Linked DNA regions of Xenopus tropicalis. The protein of the gene in region 2 purifies or fractionates together with the protein of the main gene of each other region. This does not show direct contact. Links are inferred from orthologs where the notes say so. Each region holds a gene or a part of one and is shown on either strand. Other genes may lie near its edges.

Region 1 (8,171 bases), on a different chromosome or scaffold from region 2:
GAGGAAGGGCTTTAAAACCTACAAAAAGAAGATAGAATTATTTTCCATTTTGGGAATTTGGGAAAAATATCACAGCAAAAGATAATTTTGTAATTTTACCATATGAAGACGTTCAACTAATTTCTGATCTCCTAAACAGTTGTTGGTATCGAACCAAGAGTCAAAGTCCTAAAAAGAGAAACAGTTAAAAACACTATACATATCATTAAGTGTAAAACAAGCAGTAGTACTGGACTCAAGGTGGCTATATATGGGCAGCTAATGCCTCCTCCGATCAAACCTCAAGGTGGGTATATTGGGTGCAGTGAGATCTGCTTGTTTAATGACCTCGGCAAGCAAGTGTTTTTTTTCAATGTACTGCCACCTTAAAACTAACACCTACATGCAACCTTGACCTTCAAAAGTTGCATACAGAACTGTTAATCGGCTGTCTTCTTCTACATACTACTAGGAGTCAGATGGATACTGTTTTTGAAAGGGAAAGACTTTAAAGGAACAAAAAAAAACAAAAACAATAAAAAGACAGTAGAGAAGGAATAAAGGTAGGTAGATGGAGCTGAACATAATGTTTTACAGCCTTTTGTCTATTGTCATGTCACTGCTTATATGAACTGTATCAGTTGATCCATTGGGCCTCCAACAGATGCTGAAGTGCACTGCCTTTTGGAGAGTGTCCCTCCAGAAAATATTACAACTGAAAAGTACATTCAATAATAGCATAATTTTGCATATTACCTGTACATGGATTTAAGCTGCTGTGGAAACATACAAGAGACTAAATATTTTCCTTTAAATGCATACTCCAGTGCTAAGGTTCAAACTGTATGCAATATCAAACTATAGTGTCACATCAAGTTACCTCAGCAGAATTAAAAACATCTGGTAACAGAAAGTTCAGCAACGCCCAGAGCTCATGTAGATTATTTTGAAGTGGTGTCCCTGTGAGTAAAAGACGATTTGTTGTCTTAAACTCTCTCACAATTTCAGACAGCTGTAGAGAAAAAGAAATAAAGTTTAAATTCAGGTACTGTTAAAAAAAAAAATCAATACCGCATACACAACAAAAGCCTTTATACATGACAGGAATTTGGGTTTTTCCTACCAATTAACCCAATGGCCACTAGACACTACATAATCTGCTCACAGAACCATGCAAATATCACTTATCAGACTGCAGGCCAGTCATCAATTGCTGGGGTGAGATGGTCAATACAGAAAACACAAAGCAATAGAGTTGAGTTAGAAATAACTGAAGTGTATGCAAAACCATCCTATAGCTGGCCAGTGGAACTGTGATTTTGTCCCAAGTGTGAAGGACACCTGTTTTTTTTTGTGGGAGAGTTTATTGTAGTATACAATTTGCATGGCAAGGTGAGTGCAAGGCCACTGCTGCTGCTTCTTAATGCGTCTTAATATTTCTTAGCATAATTAAACTCCAGCTTCTTTTGGTGTTAAAAAAAAAAAAAAAAAAAAAAAAAATTAACACCTACCTTAGATTTCTCATTTTTGATCCTGTGAGCTTCATCAATAACTAGGTATCTCCAGTTAAACTTTTTAAAAACAGACTTTTCCTTGATTAACATTTCATAAGATGTTACACACACATCCCACTCTCCTGGTAGGAGTACATCACGGACAAATGCAGCCTAAGAACAAATGCAATTGGGGAGAAAAAAAATCTTAATAAATGGCACAACCTATAATGCATGCATCCACAGTACAATCTGAAGAGAATAATTCTATATTGGAAGTTGGAAGCTAATCAGTAGTGTCAATAATAATGGATACACTGAACAGACTTTCAGCCAAGGCAAACTTTACAGCAGTCGGATATTTTAGATATAGTTTTAGTACAGGGACACCAAACAGCGATGTGTTTAACCAGTACTGCAATGCTTCATTTATCGATGGCTTGAAAAATCTATCTTGTACATTGTGTTGCACCTAAAATAAACATTTTATTGAGCAATTAGGGCCACATATAAAAATCTTGAAATAGTTGTCACCCAGCTTTATTGAAGCTGGGTTTTTAAAAGTCCACAATGACCCAAAAGCAAATCTGGAAAAGAAAGCCATAATGACTAAGTCAAGCCTTTCTGGGTTCAAGTGTGCTTTTATGGTTCTAAATAGATATGCAAAGTACTGTTGTCACCATGATATGTACAATCCCAAAGACAAATTTGAAATATTATCCTATCTGATAATGATAAGGCTATTAACCTTATCCTTAATTTTCTCATTAATGAACCCCCTCAATTTATCATTAATCCTTTCATACAAAGGGATTTTGCATCACGTGCTCAAAAAATCACAACAAAGTGAAAGCTACTTACTCTATGATCTTTGTCACCAATAAGACAAATAGCACAAAGTGAAGGAACCCATCTTTTGAACTCTGCCATCCAGTTGTGCAAGGTTGACTTTGGAACCAAGACCATGTGAGGCCCAGGGATACTTCTGTAGTGCTTCATATACCCCAAAAGACTGATTGTCTGTAAAGTCTTTCCTAGACCCTGTAAGAGAGAAAGGAAACCGTATATCAATGTTTTAAACAAACTGTAGATGTAAATATTACTTAAAAAACTAACTATGTATTGAAAGGTAACTCACTTCTATTCCTGAATAAAGTATTTTGAAAATCAAGAAAAACTTTAGTTTGTGTTTAGTAGAAAAACTTATTTTGTTTCTTTGGTTATACAACTAAGTTTGACACCTGTGGAATTTAGGCCTATTCAGCAGGGCACTCTAGTGTCTGAAACTGCTGCCTACCATACAGTTTAAAAAACAAAGTGTCACCTCTCACATTTTGAAATGCAAACTAGAGCAATTTCAGTATGGAAAGGACCTGAAGTTCAATAAAAATGCAGAATAAAAAAAGAAATTTACCATTTCATCAGCCAAAATTCCATTTATGCCATTCTCGTACAGCGATATTAACCAATTTAATCCTCTGACTTGGTAATCTCTTAGTGTACCACCTTTTACATCTGTGAATAAGACAAGTACAATAATGTCATTTTTCAAGCACATAGCTTTGGTTTTCATTAGATTTTCTTAAAAACAAAACAAAAACAAACTATATATCTTTCTATAAAAAGATCTGAGTCACAGAACCAGCAACAAATTACTCAAATATGCATCCAAATATACACAAGCCATACCAACACAGCAGTATATGAAAATCAAGTAACCAATAGGGACAAGAGACACACACTTTGCCTTCAGTCTATGCAGTTTTCATTCATACTTTTGCACTATATCTAAAATTAAATATTCCAAGATCTTTAACTCTCAATAACTAAAATCTGCAGTATGCCCAACAGTAAGTTGAATCCAGCCAAAACATACTTACATGATGGGGAGTCTTCAAATCTGGTGCAAACATTTGTGGTTTTGGAACTTTCAGTTAAAAGTTCCTCATCCTCCTCCTGTTCTGTCCGGCGATGGCGATAACTAAGAAAAAGCCATTACTTTTGTTAGTTCTCAGCAAAATAAGGCTGACTCGTATGTTAGGGTCAAGAAGCAACACAAGAACAGTATAAGGCTCATTTACAAACACGGGAACAAATGGATGCATTCAGGCTCCTCGCTCATGTAAATATTTGCATCTTCCCAGTCTGTTTTGGTCAATTGCAAGCAACTTCACCTACTGACGCATGGAAAGACTGAGGTTACTGATAAATTACTGCCACCTTCAGGTTAAAGGTTCCCAACGCAGGCTGCAAATTGTGAGCAGCAGGCTTGCAACTAAGCAATCATGTGCAGGTGTCTTAACAGCCAGTGTCAGAAATAATATAATCGTGCATAGTCACTATTTCGCTGAAATCATGAGAAGAGGTCCAAGTATACATTTTTTTTTTTTTTTTTTTTTAAATAATGCCAGAATATTTTAAAAATCTACTGTGCATTAACTAAATAGTTACAGTTATAAAAACACCTTATACTAGAGTAGCACCTATTGAAATGTCAACAGCAGCAAAACTAGAATTCTCTGAGCAGCGCTGGTATAATCCTTGCTGTTGTAGTTCTGCAAAAAAATTCCCTAATCCCATTAAAGTTCTCTTGATGTATTGAAAATGAGAATTTAAGGAAAAACGGAATGGATGTAATATATAGTTAGCAGGAAAAACAGATGGAGGACAGCTAAAATACAAGGAGAGAAGGAACTGGACAAACAAAACATTTTTACTGCTAAGAGTTTATTTTTCTAATATGCATAGAGTAACACAATGGGACAGCCTTGGCCACTTACTCTCCCATAGACAGCAAATCTTGTTTCTCGTCTTTCTTTAGGCGAGGACGTCCTGGTTTCATTTTTAAAGGCGAGGTTGGGGTCTTTTGTGCAGCTGGTTGAATGAAATGTGCAAACACTTCTGTCTGTTTCAAAAGGTACTCAAATCTGTTTGAGCGGTCAGTTTTCTGAGGGGAAAAAAATGATATATATGCAGCCAAATTAAACATACATACCTGATAATTTACTTACTGTAGCATTCTAATTAATTAAACATGACGGGTGGGAAGCAAAGTTTCTACAGAAAAGACTAAGATGGAAATTCTAAAAAAATTGGGCTATATAACATGTAAAAGATTTTGGAGTTCTTTGTCTACCACCTCTGGGTGCTAAAAGCACAACATCAAAATGCACCAAACCAGATCTCACTATTTTCTGTAAGCATTGCATGAAAATGCTAATGGAAGCAATTTTCACAAGATTTTCAACTAAAACATGCTTGTTTGAATTTTTAGGGAAAATAAAGTAAAAATCAGGCATGTTAGGCTTTTCCATGCAGTTCTCACAGACAATAAGCTACATATGATGTTTTTGAGTGCTGAAAATTTGAAGCACAATATGGTTCCTGAAAACCCTGTGCTATTATCCTAATGCAGAGGTCTTTGAATTGTTTAGGCTCACGCACCCCTTTTTTTTTTTTTTTTAAAAAAAAGCTTTAGTTAGACAAACCCTGCATTAAACCCTGCATTGGCCTTGATTGCCTATTTTGAAGTGGCAATAAAAAAGGAAAGAATCTGGACTTGGGGTATAGGAGCACTAACAAGAGGTTATTACCAGTGTGAGCACTGCTCATTATTTACAGAAATTGCTGTGTAGGGAATTGTAGTGACACCTGCTATTAAACTAGAGCTCCTGTTTCTATTCTTTGGGAAAAAAAAATAATGTTTCAATTTCACAACTTTCCCATGCAAAATCTGCTATATAACCAAAATTTGAAAAATATAAAATGTACCCTCTTTTCTTCATAAGCTGGATCCATCTCATTGCCTTCTTTCGATTTATTAAGAGAATCGTCATCATCTTCATTATCAAGCTCATAATCCTGAAGAAAAATGAATAATTACTAGGTATCAATGACTTAATGCTGCAATGCTTGAATATTTTCTAACTAGGCTTTTATTTTGTTTTACTAATTTTAAGCAAATAAAGAACTGGGGCCTTGTCCCTGTAGTGCCACCCAATGGACCCACCTTGTATGTACACAGGATTAGAACAAATTACATAGTCTAAGCACAAGTGCTACTAAGCTTTTTTAGGCTGTAAATAACTTTATATTGCACATTTAATAAGTACCACATATGAACATGATGCCCTGCAAAGAATTTAAATTGCAGACTCTTCATTCGCTGCTTGATGTGCCATGCTTACAGACCACTGTCACACTGTCATGAATTTAAGTGAAAAGAAAGTTTGTAGCCCCTTTTTGCAGAGCTGGGGTCATTTGCTGAGAAGTCTGGGAATAGGCAGCTTGTGACACTGTATGCAGTGCCACTATTTTGTGATGATCTGTGTGCTCCTGACAGGAAATAATGCAGCCTTAACTGTAACAGGAAGAACTGTGGGCATAAAATACAGAACTGTCCATTAACTGGCTGATGTGACCTCACATGTATGTGTGCCCTTGGTTTGTGTGCCCAGTCAATCATATGAGCCAAAGGCAAAAAAATCCAGTAGCACACACAGTGTGCTACTGGATTTTTTTGCTGTTGGATATTGACCCCCATGCAAGGTGAGGTTCTTCCAGTATTTGCACCTGATACCCGTTTGGGTAAGTTAACAGAGGGTTGAGCTCCCCAATACTGCTATTGCTAATCATATGAGCCAAAGGCACAGCATGGCCCCTTAGTACTCACAAGTGGCACATACAGGTATGACACCAGTTATTCAGAATGCTCAGGACGTGGTGTTTTGTGTAATTTAGATATCCATACTTAAAATCAATTTAAAAATCATTTAAATATTAAATAAGTCCTGTAGGATTGTTTTATCTCCAATAAGGATTAATAAGTTTATTACTACAGAAAAAAAGGAAAGCGTTTTTAAAAAAAAATTGAATTCAGTGCGTGTATGGCAACTCAGCGAGGCGACCAATATCGCAGAAGGCTGCCGATATCGACTCGCCGATCGGGCGGGTTAAAAGATTTTGATCGGGCGCCATTGAAGGCGCCTGAGTAAAATCTGCCTTCACGGCTGAATTGACAGAAGGAGGTAGAAATCCTATTGTTTCTACTTTTCCATATCTGATGATTCAGCCCTGAATGTCAGGGTGGGTTGGAACGATCTTTCGTGCAACAGAAAGATCAAAAATCGCCACGTGTGTGGTCATCTTAAGGGCTCTGGCACACGGGGAGATTAGTCGCCCGCAACAAATCTCCCTGTTCACGGGCAACTAATCTCCCCGAAATGCCATCCCACTGGCGAAAATGCAAATTACCGGTGGGATGGCATACGTGGCGCCGCGATTTCCCTGAAATAGCGGAAGTTGTCTTGAGAGGAAACTTCCGCGATTTCAGGGAACAAATAACAAATCTGCCCTTTTTATTTCCTTACACAAGGCAAACAGCCAAAGTTTTCCCCACCTCTTATGTAGATGAAATTTCTGTTACAGAAGTTGGAAGGACAGTGCGATGCATTTGAAGAAGCACACAGTCCTCTTAGCTTCTGTTAAAGTTTTTCTTTTAGGGGCAGGAACATTTAATTTTTATCCCCACCAAGGCCTATTTTTACCTGGCTGGCAATTTCTTCCCTACTAGCGATACACTTGAGCTAGCTTGAAGTTAAAAAAAAAAATAATCCGATTGTTTGGCCCTGGGGCCAAACGACCGGATTATGTAGGCAGCAATGGGGCAGTCGGTTCGGGGACCGCATCAACGAGCTGATGCGGCCTCCGATCCGACTGAATCTTTTAACCTGGCCGATCGATATCTGGCCAATTTCAGGCCAGATATCGGTCGGCCAGCCCGCTCGTTTCTGCCCCTACACGGGCAGATAAGCTGCCGAGCCGGTCCAAGGGACCGATATCGGCAGCTTCTATCGGCCCGTGTAAGGGGGCCTTTAGTCTAAATTTAAGAGATATGTAAAAACTGGTAATGTAACTGAATTTGTGACTTTCCACTGTTGAAAATCATGGGATTACGGACTGGTTATAGTGCATAAATTTTAAACGTCTATTCATAAGTCCTTAAATGTCTATTATGTATATATTCTGGTACTTATGTATTTAGATTTGCCCCCTAATAAAGGGGCTAATAGACGTTAAAGGAGACATAGGATAAATGAAAAAATCTCTAATCTTGTAGGCAATTATGAATACTATATGGTGCTGGTTTCACTTTGGTCTTTAATACCACTATCTGTAAAAATGAACCCTTTATCAGAGCTTCCTATAGATTCTCTCGGGTCCCTGCCTGTGTTTCAAATGCAGTGTGGGCATGTTCTAACTTTCCCTGCCAGAAGCACAGTAGGATAGCACACACACCTCTGCACAGATAGGCTTCAGTTCCCTATCAGGTCAGCCTAATTGCTGATTGGCTTCAATCCTACAGTGCAAAGTGCTGCATGGCCTGGGAACGGAGGAAGTGGAACAGATGGGCTGGACTTTTACCCATTTGGATAATAAATGGGTTAAGCCCCCTTAACCTCAGCTATATCACATTTATTTTTTTTCTGGGGAGAACACTGGCAAGAACTATTAAATGACTGGACTGGGAAATGAAATAAACCCTGGTTTATCAGGTGCAAAGAAAGCCAAACAGTCCCCACAGGCCCAATAAACAGGGACTGACTACAAACAGCTGTTCATTGAACAGGGAGAACTGATTGCTTAGAAATACAGTATTCCATCAACTATTTATAATAAGTCAGGCGAATAAAAATAAAG
Region 2 (8,728 bases):
TGTACTGTCTAAGGGAAACACTATGGCACCCCCTACCCATATGTATAAATACAAATATACAGAGAAGGAATGTTCTGGGCACACAATAAGCTGTACCCCCATACTGTACTGTCTAAGGGAAACACTATGGCACCTCCTACCCATATGTATAAATACAAATATACAGAGAAGGAATGCTCTGGGCACACAATAAGCCCAGTGTGATGTAGCTGGAAGATAGTGGGGTAGCAGGAGGGTTTAGGGTCTACTTTCTGCTTAATGTGATTGGCTGAATACAAACTGCCCCCTGCAGAGGTGACAAGGAGTGGCCAATGTGCAGAGGTCACCCACAGCCGGCAGGGCAAAGCGCTTACAATGTATCACAGTGACTCTCTAGTGGACACACAGACAAGCAGCTGCTACATTGTAGCGCAAGAAAACTTCATAAAAGGAAAGAAACTGGGAAATGGATTTTGTGTTATTTCCCTTTTAAATAAAAGCATCTCTGCAGAGCAAGGAAAACAAACACCCCTGCCCGAGCCCCCTCCCATGCAGTGACATCACCCAGGAGAGGGGGGGCTGGGGGCGGGGCCTCGGTGTAAATGGGTAGAGCCACAGCGGGGAGGGAAATATCCTCCCCATTTTTATCATAACAAAAAAGCCATGTGCTTCAACTCCTATCCAGAGCCAGCAGTGCAGGGGCATTCATAGCCCCCCAGCAAAAACAGAGCTGGGCCCCAGCAGCAGAGGGGCCCCCTTAGTGGGGGGGGGGGGGGGGTAAAAGTACAAAGCACAACAAATAAGGCTGAACTCTCACCCTGGCAATACGTGTGTGTGGGGAAATTGTACAATATCCAGCCAATCACATGCAACCACTTTGATTTTCTTTCCCCTGCTGCTCTTGACCCGAAATCACACCGCCCAAAGAATAAATAGCAGCTCTCCCGATGGCGGAATGGAAATTCCAAATCAATATTTGTCCCTTTTCTTTCCTTCTCCTTCATTTCTTGCAAAACAACACCCGGCGGCATAGGCATATAGCTAATATACAGCAATGTACCCCCCTACTGTAAATGATAAGGATATTAGCAGCCACTGAGGGGTTCTGTGCCCATATAAAAGGCACAAGGCTGCAGGCTGAGTTATACAGGGAACTCTGAGTATCACTCATGTATTATAAGGGATAATGTACCCCCTACTGTAAATGATAAGGATATTAGCAGTCACTGAGGGGTTCTGTGCCCATATAAAGGCACAAGGCTGCAGGCTGAGTTATACAGGGAACCCTGAGTATCACTCATGTATTATAAGGGATAATGTACCCCCTACTGTAAATGATAAGGATATTAGCAGTCACTGAGGGGTTCTGTGCCCCCCATATAAAGGCACAAGGCTGCAGGCTGAGTTATACAGGGAACTCTGAGTATCACTCATGTATTATAAGGGATAATGTACCCCCTACTGTAAATGATAAGGATATTAGCAGTCACTGAGGGGTTCTGTGCCCATATAAAGGCACAAGGCTGCAGGCTGAGTTATACAGGGAACTCTGAGTATCACTCATGTATTATAAGGGATAATGTACCCCCTACTGTAAATGATAAGGATATTAGATATCATACCATATAAAGGCAAGCATGGGAAGGGTTAAGTACCTGGCTACTGATGTGCTGGCATATAGACTACAAAAGCCCCTGACCATTGTGCTGACTGATTTATATAATCAGGGCTGGGCAGCCTGTATCTGCCCAAACATGGCTGACTTACAAGTCTTGGAATTAATGGGGGCTGCTGGGAGCTGTAGTTGGTGGGACACCGGCTGCTCTCAGAAGCCTCCCCCTGGCCAGAGACCATGCAAGCACAGCACAGAGCCATGGCTTACGTGACTCCAGGCCAAGGAACGGTTAAGGCAAGCCCACCTCCTCTCCCACCCCCCCCCCCCCCCCCCCCCCACGGTCACATTGTCCCATCCCGAGATGCCATGCTGCCTCTGCAAGCCACAGAACAAAACAAACAGAGGGGTTTCCCCCCTTAGCTCCCCCCCACCCGCCCCACAACCCCTTTTACTCCTCACCCCCGACCCCCCCCCCATCACAGCTCTGCCCCACAGAACAAAACTTTTCTATTACATCCAGCACATTGCATCCCAATAGGCAGAGAAACTGAGCTCTGCTAAACCCCTTCATCACCAGGAAGCTGCAACCTGACCCGGCTGGACCACAATACACAACAAAGGGGTGGGGGGGGGACTTTATCTTTGAAATCACACGTAAACCTTCACAAAAAACATTTAAATATGCCGCAGATGGCTGTGCCCAAAGCTTAATGATTTCTCTCTCTATTCTGCTTCCCTACAAAGTAAAGCTTGACATGTAAGCTGGTTGCTAAAGTCAGTGACCTTAGCAACCAGATTTTGGCAACCAAAGAGTAGTTTATATCTGGACTTTATATCTATCTGGACTATATATCTATCTATCTAGACCTTATATCTAGAACACCCGTCTGTAAGTCGCCGACCCACTTAGGTTTAAACGCTATGGGACAAGGACCTCCTTTCTGGTATCTGGAGCACCCCAACAGGGTGGCAGCGCCAGACAAGCACCCCATATGCCATAAACCTGTCACTGGTAAAATTTGGGTGCCTCTAGAAATGTCCCCTTTACTCTTTCTATTTTGTCCACCAATCCTATTTATGGTTCGGAAGACCTATATTTAAGTTTTTCTTTTCTCTCTGTTGCATTGAACGTGGATCCGACTCCAGATGTTACAGGTTCAGCGGACAAAAAAAAAAAAAAAAAAAACAAATTACATGGTGTTACATCATCCAGCACCCTGGCGCTCAGGTACAAGAGACCAACGAGGTGCCTAGTGATTACTGTAACCCTCCGGTAAAGGGGAAGTAAACCCAATACGGGAGAAGCAGCTGATTAACAAACAAGGAGAATAGATTTCTGCTACATGGCTTCAAGAGTCAGAACCAGTGGACAGACAGCAATGAGAGTAACACATATAAACCCAGGGAGAATGAGGAATGAATGGGTATTGGGGAAGTTGTATCAGGAGTCAGAACCAGCAGTGCAGGGAAGGGAAAGGGACAGACACAGTGACAGTTACACATAACTATAAACCCAGTGAGAATGAGGAATGAATGGATATTGGGGAGTTGTATCAGGAGTCAGAACCAGCAGTGCAGGGAAGGGAAAGGGACAGACACAGTGACAGTTACACATAACTATAAACCCAGTGAGAATGAGGAATGAATGGATATTGGGGAGTTGTATCAGGAGTCAGAACCAGCAGTGCAAGGAAGGGAAAGGGAGGGACAGACACAGTGACAGTTACACATAACTATAAACCCAGTGAGAATGCGGGATGAATGGATATTGGGGAGTTGTATCAGGAGTCAGAACCAGCAGTGCAGAGAAGGGAAAGGGACAGGTACAGTGACAGTTACACATAACTATAAACCCAGTGAGAATGCGGGATGAATGGATATTGGGGAGTTGTATCAGGAGTCAGAACCAGCAGTGCAGAGAAGGGAAAGGGACAGGTACAGTGACAGTTACACATAACTATAAACCCAGTGAGAATGAGGAATGAATGGATATTGGGGAGTTGTATCAGGAGTCAGAACCAGCAGTGCAGGGAAGGGAAAGGGACAGACACAGTGACAGTTACACATAACTATAAACCCAGTGAGAATGAGGAATGAATGGATATTGGGGAGTTGTATCAGGAGTCAGAACCAGCAGTGCAGGGAAGGGAAAGGGACAGACACAGTGACAATTACACATAACTATAAACCCAGTGAGAATGAAGAATGAATGGATGGGTATTGGGAAAATGCTTAATATATATTTCTGGGTTTATATCCCTATTGAAATAAAGACAGAGCGGTCGCCGTGCCCCAGGTACACGGATACGGGGTTAATCCTATGGGCATTTAATGGCAATTCTCACTGACTAATCGCATATCCCCCTAATCCTGCGGCACGGAGAGAACTCGGGCAAAGTACTCAAGGAAAAGTTTAACCATTTCTATTTAATTCCCAGAAAAATAAGTCTATCCAAGCACTTGGGCGCCCAAGACACCAGCAGAACGAATGGGTTTGGCCCCATTGTGTTTCCCATATTCCAGTGCCACAGGGCTATAAAGTCTCCCATTAAACTGGTAGTCAGTGCAGAGACGCCCCTGTGTGGGTTGTAGAACTACCAATCCCAGCATCCTCTTGGGAATTGTAGTGCAACAACAGCTGGCTTGCTGCAAGCACTTACCCTTCACATCAATGAGCAATGAGTTACACTCAAACCCACTGGCTACATTTAACCCCTGTTATGCTGCTAAAAGCTAAATAAGACCGTACTATCTTATGGGGGGGGGGGGGTTAGAGAAATCTAAATGAACTATGGGGGGGGATATGCAGGGCAAATAAGGTAGAATAGGACTTCTGGGGGTCCAAGAAGTTTAGATATATGAGCAAATAGGTAGGGAGGGCACATTACTGAGAGAATAATATTGGGAAATCGAATTATTGGAATAACGCAGCTATTGCCCCGGCCCTCAGGCTACTCAAGGGGTGCTGGGGATATACCATCAGACAGGGGGTGCTGGGGATATACCATCAGACAGGGGGTGTTGGGGATATACCATCAGACAGGGGTGCCCCATACCCAGGCTGCAGTCTCTCAGTCCCAGGGAAAGTTGCCGCTCAGTAGTAGCAGGTACCCCCCCCCCTTATCTCCCAAGTTTAGCCCCAAACTCAAAGCGCCATCGCCCCAAACTCGTAACGCCGCCCCCGGCCCAGGTGTAGCCTCCGCTCCCGCCCCCAGGCCCCCGGGCCCCCCGGCCCCTCACCTCTATCTCGAAGTCCGGCAGCTGGAAGGCGGTGCGGAAGAGGGAGCAGAAATGCGCGATGGCGGGGACCCGCCAACAAGAGCGGAGCTCCCCCAGGGCACCGACCGGGGGCATCCCGAGGCAGCACCCCGAGCCCGGCTACAGCGTGTGGGGAGCTCCGGTACAATGTGATCCCCGGCCGGGCTGGGAGCAGATGGAGCGGGGGAGGGGGCTGGGGAGGGAGGAGACTGGGGGAGGGACTCGGAACCCACTCCGGGCACACTACTCACTCATATACACTCACTCACTCACTCCCTCCCTCACTCATATACACTCACTCACTCACTCCCTCACTCATATACACTCACTCACTCACTCATACTCACTCACTCATATACACACTACTTACTCACTCACTCACTCATACTCACTCACTCACTCCCTCACTCATATACACTCACTCACTCACTCATACTCACTCACTCCCTCACTCATATACACTCACTCACTCATACTCACTCACTCACTCATATACACACTACTTACTCACTCACTCACTCACTCATACTCACTCACTCACTCCCTCACTCATATACACTCACTCCCTCACTCATATCCACTCACTCACTCACTCATATACACACTACTTACTCACTCACTCACTCATACTCACTCACTCACTCATATACACTCACTCACTCATATACACTCACTCACTCACTCATATACACTCACTCACTCACTCATATACACTCACTCACTCATATACACACTACTTACTCACTCACTCACTCATACTCACTCACTCACTCATATACACACTACTTACTCACTCACTCATACTCACTCACTCACTCCCTCACTCATATACACTCACTCCCTCACTCATATCCACTCACTCACTCACTCATATACACACTACTTACTCACTCACTCACTCACTCATACTCACTCACTCACTCATATACACTCACTCACTCATATACACTCACTCATATACACTCACTCACTCACTCATATACACTCACTCACTCATATACACACTACTTACTCACTCACTCACTCATACTCACTCACTCACTCATATACACTCACTCACTCATATACACTCACTCACTCACTCATATACACTCACTCACTCACTCATATACACTCACTCACTCACTCATATACACTCACTCACTCATACACTCACTCACTCATATACACTCACTCACTCACTCATATACACTCACTCACTCATATACACACTACTTACTCACTCACTCACTCACTCATATACACTCACTCACTCATATACACTCACTCACTCATATACACTCACTCACTCATATACACTCACTCACTCATATACACTCACTCACTCATACACTCACTCACTCATATACACTCACTCACTCATATACACACTACTTACTCACTCACTCACTCATATACACTCACTCACTCATATACACTCACTCATATACACTCACTCACTCATATACACTCACTCATATACACTCACTCATATACACTCACTCATATACACTCACTCATATACACTCACTCACTCATATACACTCACTCCCTCACTCATATACACTCACTCATATACACTCACTCACTCATATACACTCACTCCCTCACTCACTCATATACACTCACTCACTCATATACACTCATTCACTCATATACACTCACTCACTCATATACACTCACTCACTCATATACACTCACTCACTCATATACACTCACTCACTCATATACACTCACTCATATACACTCACTCATATACACTCACTCACTCATATACACTCACTCCCTCACTCATATACACTCACTCACTCATATACACTCACTCCCTCACTCACTCATATACACTCACTCACTCATATACACTCATTCACTCATATACACTCACTCACTCATATACACTCACTCCCTCACTCACTCACTCATATACACACTACTTACTCACTCACTCACTCATATACACACTACTTACTCACTCACTCATATACACACTACTTACTCACTCACTCATACTCACTCACTCACTCCCTCACTCATATACACTCACTCACTCATATACACTCACTCACTCATATACACTCACTCACTCACTCATATACACTCACTCACTCATATACACACTACTCACTCACTCACTCACTCATACTCACTCATATACACTCACTCACTCATATTCACTCACTCACTCATATACACTCACTCACTCATATACACACTACTTACTCACTCACTCTCACTCACTCACTCATATACACTCACTCACTCACTCATATACACTCACTCACTCATATACACTCACTCACTCACTCATACTCACTCACTCACTCATATACACTCACTCATATACACTCACTCACTCATATACACTCACTCACTCATATACACTCACTCACTCATATACACACTACTTACTTACTCACTCATACTCACTCACTCATATACACTCACTCACTCATATACACTCACTCACTCACTCATATACACTCACTCACTCATATACACTCACTCACTCATATTCACTCACTCACTCATATACACTCACTCACTCACTCATATACACTCACTCACTCAGTCATATACACTCACTCACTCACTCATACACTCACTCACTCATATACACTCACTCACTCATATACACTCACTCACTCATATACACTCACTCACTCATATACACACTACTTACTCACTCACTCACTCATACACTCACTCACTCACTCATACTCACTCATATACACACTACTTACTCACTCACTCATATACACACTACTTACTCACTCACTCATATACACTCACTCACTCACTCATATACACTCACTCACTCATATACACTCACTCACTCATATACACTCACTCACTCACTCACTCATATACACTCACTCACTCATATACACTCACTCACTCATATACACTCACTCACTCATATACACTCACTCACTCATATACACTCACTCACTCATATACACTCACTCACTCACTCATATACACTCACTCACTCATATACACTCACTCACTCATATACACTCACTCACTCATATACACTCACTCATATACACTCACTCACTCATATACACTCACTCCCTCACTCACTCATATACACTCACTCACTCATATACACTCACTCACTCATATACACTCACTCACTCACTCACTCATATACACTCACTCATATACACTCACTCACTCATATACACTCACTCACTCATACACTCACTCATATACACTCACTCACTCACTCATACACTCACTCACTCATATACACTCACTCACTCATATACATTCACTCACTCACTCATATACACTCACTCATATACACTCACTCACTCATATACACTCACTCACTCATATACACTCATATACACTCACTCACTCATATACACTCACTCATATACACTCACTCACTCATATACACTCAATCACTCATATACACTCACTCACTCATATACACTCACTCACTCATATACACTCACTCACTCATATACACTCACTCACTCACTCATATACACTCACTCACTCATATACACTCACTCACTCATATACACTCACTCCCTCACTCACTCATATACACTCACTCACTCATATACACTCACTCCCTACTCACTCACTCACTCATATACATTCTACTCACTCACTCACTCATATACACACTACTCACTCACTCATATACACACTCACTCACTCATATACACACTTACTCATATACACACTACTCACTCACTCATATACTCACTCACTCATATACACACTACTCACTCATACACACTACTTACTCACTCACTCATATACTCACTCACTCATATACACACTTACTCACTCACTCACTCATATACACTCACTCATATACACTCACTCACTCACTCATATACACACTACTTACTCACTCACTCATATACACACTACTTA

Evidence for each region.
Region 1: the proteins of cecr2 (region 2) and smarca5 purify together in Homo sapiens (affinity purification with mass spectrometry; 3 studies listed by BioGRID and IntAct, with this or other methods). This does not show direct contact. The link is inferred for Xenopus tropicalis from reciprocal best matches to the Homo sapiens genes CECR2 and SMARCA5.

What each region holds. Positions count from the first base shown.
Region 1 is NC_030677.2:59,232,372-59,240,542, forward strand, and holds part of smarca5 (SWI/SNF-related matrix-associated actin-dependent regulator of chromatin subfamily A member 5), read right to left. Parts: intron 5,334-8,171; coding exon 5,244-5,333; intron 4,420-5,243; coding exon 4,253-4,419; intron 3,454-4,252; coding exon 3,353-3,453; intron 2,988-3,352; coding exon 2,887-2,987; intron 2,514-2,886; coding exon 2,334-2,513; intron 1,647-2,333; coding exon 1,491-1,646; intron 992-1,490; coding exon 860-991; intron 169-859; coding exon 100-168; intron 19-99; coding exon 1-18. UniProt on the Homo sapiens protein: ATPase that possesses intrinsic ATP-dependent nucleosome-remodeling activity.
Region 2 is NC_030679.2:8,773,033-8,781,760, forward strand, and holds the start of cecr2 (cat eye syndrome critical region protein 2), read right to left. Parts: upstream 5,088-8,728; 5' UTR 4,949-5,087; coding exon 4,835-4,948; intron 1-4,834. UniProt on the Homo sapiens protein: Regulatory subunit of the ATP-dependent CERF-1 and CERF-5 ISWI chromatin remodeling complexes, which form ordered nucleosome arrays on chromatin and facilitate access to DNA during DNA-templated processes such as DNA replication, transcription, and repair.